Linked DNA regions of Coturnix japonica. The protein of the gene in region 1 purifies or fractionates together with the protein of each later gene. This does not show direct contact. Links are inferred from orthologs where the notes say so. Each region holds a gene or a part of one and is shown on either strand. Other genes may lie near its edges.

Evidence for each region.
Region 2: the proteins of STRADB (region 1) and CAB39 purify together in Homo sapiens (affinity purification with mass spectrometry; 3 studies listed by BioGRID and IntAct, counting the BioPlex papers as one, with this or other methods). This does not show direct contact. The link is inferred for Coturnix japonica from reciprocal best matches to the Homo sapiens genes STRADB and CAB39.

The regions. Positions count from the first base shown.
Region 1 is NC_029522.1:9,978,212-9,982,035, reverse strand, and holds part of STRADB (STE20-related kinase adapter protein beta), read right to left. Parts: intron 3,769-3,824; coding exon 3,669-3,768; intron 2,524-3,668; coding exon 2,402-2,523; intron 1,964-2,401; coding exon 1,855-1,963; intron 1,315-1,854; coding exon 1,191-1,314; intron 731-1,190; coding exon 559-730; intron 140-558; coding exon 35-139; intron 1-34. UniProt on the Homo sapiens protein: Pseudokinase which, in complex with CAB39/MO25 (CAB39/MO25alpha or CAB39L/MO25beta), binds to and activates STK11/LKB1.
Region 2 is NC_029524.1:4,189,816-4,193,639, forward strand, and holds part of CAB39 (calcium-binding protein 39), read right to left. Parts: intron 984-3,824; coding exon 865-983; intron 1-864. UniProt on the Homo sapiens protein: Component of a complex that binds and activates STK11/LKB1. In the complex, required to stabilize the interaction between CAB39/MO25 (CAB39/MO25alpha or CAB39L/MO25beta) and STK11/LKB1.

The DNA.
Region 1 (3,824 bases):
TCCTTTGAAGCAGAAATGGAGTTTAGCATCATACCTGAGTGCGAGGCATATCTTGAAATGGAACATGTCCATTGGCTAATTCACATGCTGTTATTCCTACGCTGTAGATATCGGACTTCATATTATACCCAGACAAATCCTGTGGGAGAAATAGAACTTTACTGGACTACTGAAGCCATTGATGGGTGCCAACAGAAACACAAATACCAGTGTCAAGACACAATTCTAAAATTGTGTGATCTACACATCTAGGATTGAGGCAGTTAACAAATTGAAACAGGCTTTTTTCCATAAATGTGATGTTGCACTGAAGACAGAATCTGCTCTAGTTTTCAGGAAGACAATGAGGCAGAGACTGAGCTGTAAGCATCACCACAGCTTTAAATCCTATTCTCTTTAGGGGAAATGCAAATTCAGTTCATGGTTGTTTTTGTTTTTTTTTTTGTTGTTTTGTTTTTAAGCTGCAGTTCAACAGATTCTATTGCACTTGTACAAACAGGTATAACTCGAGTACTTCCTGTTAACTTGGAATAAGAATGAAGTGTATTTTACACTGACCTGTCTCAGTAGTTCAGGGCTCAGCCAAGGAAGTACAGATGTACTAAACTGGGGGAAGTCATACACCACCTTTGACTTTTGTCCATTGTTAACTAAACTGTAGAGGTTGTTTAAGCCAGAGAGAGAAACCAATCCATCCCCTGAAATCAGAATGTGGCTAGCTTTAATATTCCTGTAACAAAAAGTGGTAAATTTTAGTTAGACAAATTAGTCAAAGCACTATTAAAGTAGAAATATGAAAATCTTTTGTTAATGTATATTGAGGGGTTTACACGCAGTTCTGTTTAGCAGGCTGTTTTCATGGGTGGTCTTCACTTAGCATGAGCTGTCTATTTAATACACCCTGAGAGATGGTTAGCAAGAAAAACTGACTGCCAGACATCAAAGAAGGATTTTTCCATCCCTGCAAAGAGGGTAAAGTAATGAAGAATTTAACATCCTGCTATATTAGTCAAAAACAAACAAAACAAAACAAAAAAGAGCCCTGCTTCTGCACTGTGTCTGCATCTGCCATAAGGAATATATAGAAAAAGGAAAGGAGACAAGTGTTGAACCAAATATGGGTTTTGAAGTGAAACTTAATTCCTAATAATGTAATTTGATTCTTGCCTATGGCACTGACATTGTTTTACCTGTGAATGTAGCCATTCTGGTGCATGTAATTTAATCCTCTGATTGCACCAAACAGAATGTTTCCTATCAAAGCTTCACTCATTCCTTCAGGAAAGTAAGTCTTCAGCAGGTGTCGAGCAGAACCTGGGAGCAGGGGGAAAAAATATCCTAAGCCAAACAAGCTACCTTAAACTTGCTTTCTATGCCTCCTTCATTGTATATGTTTGCCAGAAGAGGTATTCTCACCTTTATATTGACCATGGTGCATCAGGAACACTTACATGGATGCAACTGAAGCATCCATCAATCACAAGGATTGCACTCATGTCATGCTTGCTAACTGAAAGCCTATGCTAAACCTGCACTGAAAGCGACAAGTTTTCTATTCTGTAACATCAAATGCATCTCTCTCTTATTACTCTGTACTTTGTGGGTATTAGGACTAAGTGAAATGTAATGCAGATCAAATGTCAATCTTTTCTGGGGAGGAAGATGATATACAGACTTATCTAAACAAGTTGTTTGTGGAAGTGTGTCTGTTGGGTTTTTTTTTCTTTTCCCTCCCACCACCTCCTTCTCTATGAGTCAGGAGATTCTTAAAGAAAAAAAAACTCTTGTCAACCGCATAGCCCAAATGTCATCAGTCCTTTTCCTTATTCCAAAATTGCAGTTACCAGTTCTTACCATAGGCCATGAATGGAGAAATGACCCAAAGCCAACTACCAGCTGTAAACACTGTCCAAAGCGTCATTATGTTGGGATGCTGGAAAAAGTGGGACAAAACCACCTCATTCTATGGAATTAAATGAAAATGGATGTATTAATCACAAAGCATCTGCCTTACTAAGAGCATTAATTGTGTCAGTAATCAGTAGAAAAAAAGTGTTTGGTGTATTTATACTTAATTGCATGTGATGAGCAGAGCTGCAATAGATATCCAAATAGCTGGTAAGTCATTGCATTTTTCTGAACTCTAGTTTGTTCTTAGTCATAAGTTATGCTGTTAAATGCAGAGCACAGAATGTGTTTCAGAGGAAGAGCTGTTAAGTTCCATGAGTATTTCTAAAACACTTGTCAACAGTTTCTTCAGAAAGCAATCTTTCAAATTTATATGTGCTTCTTCTATTCCTTTGATGAGAAAATTTGAATTCAATCACCCAGTAAAAGCATGAAGGCTACCCTACTTTACTAAACCCTTATGTGTTCAAAAGTGAAAATGCTGCTGCTTTACCTGTAAGGCTTTCAGATGCTCTTCTGAGCAGCTTTCTAGGTCTGTGATCCTTACGGCAACTTGTGTGCCTGTAGGGGTATGCCGTGCAAGGTAGATTGAAGTTAAGTTGTTGAATCTCCTTCCTGAAACCAAAAGTCAATACCTTAATATTGGAAAATGTAGTAAGTCACCATATAACTTTCTTTATAGTTAGAGAACTTTGCGGTTCTGAAATTGCAATGGAGAACAGCATGGTCTTTTCTTTAAGCACACCAACAACTTAAGTAGCTGGGGTGTAATATATCCACAAATTACTTAGAACTCTGTTCTGCTATTTTTAGAGCAACAAAGGACATTTAAACATTTATCAGCATCAGTAATGTATCTGTTCTAATGTTTGTGCTCAAGGGGCTGCTAATGTAAATAGGAGAGACATGAACCTGCTAGAAAGCGTCCAGAGGAGGGCCACAAAAATGATCCAAGAGATGGAACACCTCCTCTGCAAGGACAGGCCAAGAGAGCTGCAGTTCTGCCTGGAGAATAGAAGGCTCCAGGGAGACTCGATAGCAGCCTTTCAATATCTAAAGGAGGGCTACAGGAAGGAAAGAAGGGAACAGACTCTATAGCAGGTCTATTGTGACAGGAAAAGGGGAAATGGTTTCAAACTTAAAAGGGGAGATTTTGATTGGATGTAAGGAAGAAATGGGTTTGTTTGTTTGTTCATTTTATTTTTTAAAGCAGGGGCAATGAGGCAGTGGCACAGGTTGCCCAGAGGTGGTGGATGCTCTGTCCTTGGAGACATTTGAGGTCAGGCTGGATGGGGCTCTGAGCAACCTAATATAGGTATAGGTGTCCCTGATCATTGCAGTGAAGATGGACTGGGTGACCTTTAAATGTCCCTCACAAATCAAACAACTCTATGATTCAAGGCTTGTACAGTGGGATTCAGTGTAGCCATTGTTAAGACAATCAAATCAAGTAGCCAAATGACAGGTTATGATGTTACTTAACGTTGTATTTATTGTACGCATGCCACAGATTTTAGGCAAATTATGTCCAAATGCACAAACATCAAAAGAAAAGTTCAGATAACTGTTAATTTGTCTTATATTTTAAAGCATGCACTAACTGAAACAAGATGATCGGTATTTTTCTCAAGAATAGAGGATTAAGTTTTAGTCAGCTGATAATACATTTTCCAAACTTAATATTTGCTGCAGTTAGCAATAGCTACAGAGAGAATGCGTCTGCAAGAACAAGAAATATTTTTAAGGCACAGTTGTGTTACCTATTTCCACCTGCAGTTCATAGTGAGAGACATCAGAAGAGCAAAATAGCATTTCATTCCCTCCTTTAGATGGGGGAATCCAGGCTAGCTCTGAATCAGCCTAACAGTGGAGAAAAGCAGAGTTCTTAGTAAGAATTACTATGTGCATTTATGGTT
Region 2 (3,824 bases), on another chromosome or scaffold:
TTTAACACAGGAGATAAAATGAACACTTGAAAGAACATTCCAAGAACATGTTTTTGTGTTTTGTTATTTGAATATTGATGAACATTCTATCCTAAAATAACACATTGGGATACCAGTTTACAAACTTTGCTTATTAATGCTAATAGAAATGTGGGCAATTATTTTTTATATGGAGAGAGCATGTTGTCAATTCATAAGAAAATCTTATTTTAACAAGAAAGCTCTGAAAATACATTTCTGCTTTCACATTTGAGATCCAAAACTTGTGGTGTGCAAACATGTCTTCAGTGTGGCGCTGCTCTCCAATACCCAGCACCAGAAAAAATACAAGAAGAGAGGAAGAAAGAGTAGCCTGGCACTCACTGTGTACCCTGAGTCATCCTTTGTTTGGTCCTGTGACCGCAGGAGTATGAATCACTACAAATAACACGCGTAAGGCAAGCAAAAAGCAGGGAATAGGACGGGGAACTGGAAGGGACACTGGTTAAAAGATAAAACAAACAAACAAAAAAAACCCCAAACAAACCCACCACTTAATATTTGAGAAATGAGTAAGTTCGGAAGGAAATAACTTCAATAGGATGATATAATACACCAAAAGGAGAATGTTTGCAATACCCCACTAAGAATAATTTAAGTTACTATCAGTTCTCAGTTTTCAGCCATATATCATGCAGAAGTACATATCTGGTGTTTATTACTCAGATTTTCCTTTCCTTAGGGGAAGTAGCCCTTAGACAAGAACAACAGAATCAAGCACACCACAAGGGAAGAAAAAAACATTTCAGAACTCAGTGCTTCTCCATGACACTAAAAACTTCTGATTTCATTAAAAAGTATATTCAAGCCTGACAGCATACATACCCTTTTAATAGCATGAACAATATATTCTGTTGAGTGCAGATGTATTCAACTGTGGGAGTTCTTGTACCAATTTGCCTTCGGAGGATGTTGTTGAAGATTTGGGCGACATCCTTTTTGCCCTGTCAGAAACACAAATAGTTCAGCACAGTATTCAAGGCCTCTATCCAAATAGTAATTACACAGTATCACCTCATGCATTCATACCAATGTCCTCAACATTCCATTACCCACTCCGTTCTCTGGGAAGGCACAATGCCACCATCCATGGTTCGTTAAGGCACTTCTGCCTGCGGTGTTAACATTCTATTTAAAACTGACACTTTTGGAGGAAAAACCATTAGTTAAGAACTACAAAGAGACCCACTGACCTAAAATACAAGTCTCACATTTTTCAACAGACACAGCAGCATGAATGAGAACCAGATGCTGGAATTCAGCACAAATTATACACACAACATTAGCACCAGGTAAAGATGCCAAACTGGTATGGACAAAAAGCTGATGATAAACATGAGCACTTTCTCCATCATTCACATACATCATTTAAAAGCCAGATCTGTGCACTTAACTTGCAATCTGAAACTGCCAAAAAGATAACTTCGAGGCTATGTCCTGTTAGCTGTAACCCAAAATATACCCAGGCAAACCTGTGCTACAGCTGGACTTGCAAGTAATGCTGTTAAGCAGCTCCACAGGAAGGATTCCTGGATGCCATACACACAAAGACCAAACACAAAGCATTTTTCTTGACAATCCCTATCTACCCGGTATCATAAATTCCATGTGTCACATTAACAAGTTATCAAGTAAAATTCAAGGTATAATTAATTAGCAACCGTTAGTCAGAGCTAGTTCAGTTTTCTAATCAATGTAAGGAAGACTGTGTAAGGAAAAAACCCCAAACATTTGTAACAAACGTAGGAGGGCTGCAGTTTTCCAAATGGCATGTTTGTGAATTACCACGGGCCATTTGAGGGTTTGTTGTTTTCAGGATATAAGAGTTTGTTTGTAAATGCTTGTTTTCTCAATTACAATTCCGTTGCAAGCCAGCCCAAAGCAACACCAGCACTCTTTGTTCTGAAATGAGTAGAGCAGTGTTCCAGGCTGTTTTACTCAACCTCCACATAATACAGACATCAACTCTCATTCACTAACATTGTCAATTTTGCTCTACATCTCACTATTTCCTTTGGATTCAGCAGCAAAAACAGCATTTCTGTATTATTCACCTAAGTGAACTGATAGCGGTACACGGTAATTCCAAGCCTAGTTATTGTTAAGCAGCACACACTGCTAAGTGACTTCATGGCTAACAAGGGCAAACAGGCACCGGCCCTTGTGCCAGTGGTCACGACTGCAAGAGGTGAGAGTACAACTGTGCTGGCATTGTCTTCCCAGCACAAGGATTCAGGCTCCCTCATGCAAAAGGCGTTTTTGTTTGCTTTATTTTTTTCCCCCCTCTCCGTTTCAAAACCAGCAAGAACAAAGAATACAATTCTACAAGGGATGTCATCTCTCCTATGGGCACACATGGGGTGATAGCTGAAAACTCCATAGCTTTGCTAAGTAGATGGTTTTGTGCACTGCTCTACTTGGAAAGAAATCTTCCAGGCACGAATATCATTTTAAACAGGTCTTCCAGGCCCAGCAAGATTCTTAAAGTCACAGTTTCTAATTACAAGATTAAAAAACATGAAGTTTTTGCCTGTGTTTGTGGTTTTTTTAACCATTCTGTTCACATTCAAATACATGATACTGTTCAAGAGTCTGAGTAAACGGTCCCTTCTCTGTTAGATGTCTTCAAGAAGAGCAGAGTTTTGACCAAAAAAAGATGGTATTTCCTTCATCTTTGACTAATTTCAAGCTTTACAGAGGCAAAGGAAGTACCAAACGCTAAACTCAACCCTCAAGTTTAAGAGCCAGCAGGAAATAAAGTTTCTATCTCTCTAATAGAAAAATCATTTCAAATACAGTAAATTCCAAATCACAGAGTTCTGGGATATGAACACCAATATCTGATGACTTTGTATTAGATGGGAAGCTAGTGCAGGTCTGGGGCACAGGTGTGTTGACATTAATTCTAAGAAAAACAATAGCTGGGCGGTCTGCCAGACCCCATCCTTAAAAAGCAGACAAGGCCCAGCCTGGAAAGCAATGTGAATGACTTGTTTCTCAAGGGGAAAAGATAATATCCTTGTGTAACAAAGTAGCAGAAAGTCTAAAGCAGGAAACTACTTGCAATCTTCTTAAGTCCCCTTAGAATAAAATGAATAGCTCTCTTTAATGAGAGCAAGCTTGTACAAACTGTTATCATTCTTCATCACCAGCAGATAATGAATGTTTCCTTCTCTAAAAACTGAGCTGAGTAAACATGAAGCTGATAAGAATCTAGAGGTCAGCAGAATCCAGATGACGTTTCATGATTTCCTTTCTTTGGCAATTAAAGGCTGTCATATTTCAACACTGTATCTCAACTTTCCCAGGTCTCCTTGCTTACTTAACAACCTGAATGTATTATGTTTGCTGTAAACATTTGCATGGGTAGAGGGGGGAAAATAAAATACAACCATATTACAATTGAACACAAATCAGAGGCAGTTATGGGTGGGGTGGAGGGGCAAGAGGAAAAGAACAGGGAAGAAAGTTATTATTTGGGGACTGTCATGCTACAATAGGACTTGAAACTGTTCTGCTTGCATCATGAACAACTTGGTCATGAACAATAGTGTCTTTAAGCAATCTTAAGTGGTATGGCCTTTATGGTCAAGGCTGTGGAGTGCGATACATGGGCTTTGGCTCCTTTCCTGGACAGCCACACAGTTCTTGTGGGACCTTAGGGAAAACAGAAAAATCCAATTGTATTGCAATTCCTTGTAACTAAATGGGGTAGTTTCTCTCTATGGAGCTGGGAACTGAATTATTCTATGTGATGTGATGACAAATGTCAGACAGAGGTTTGT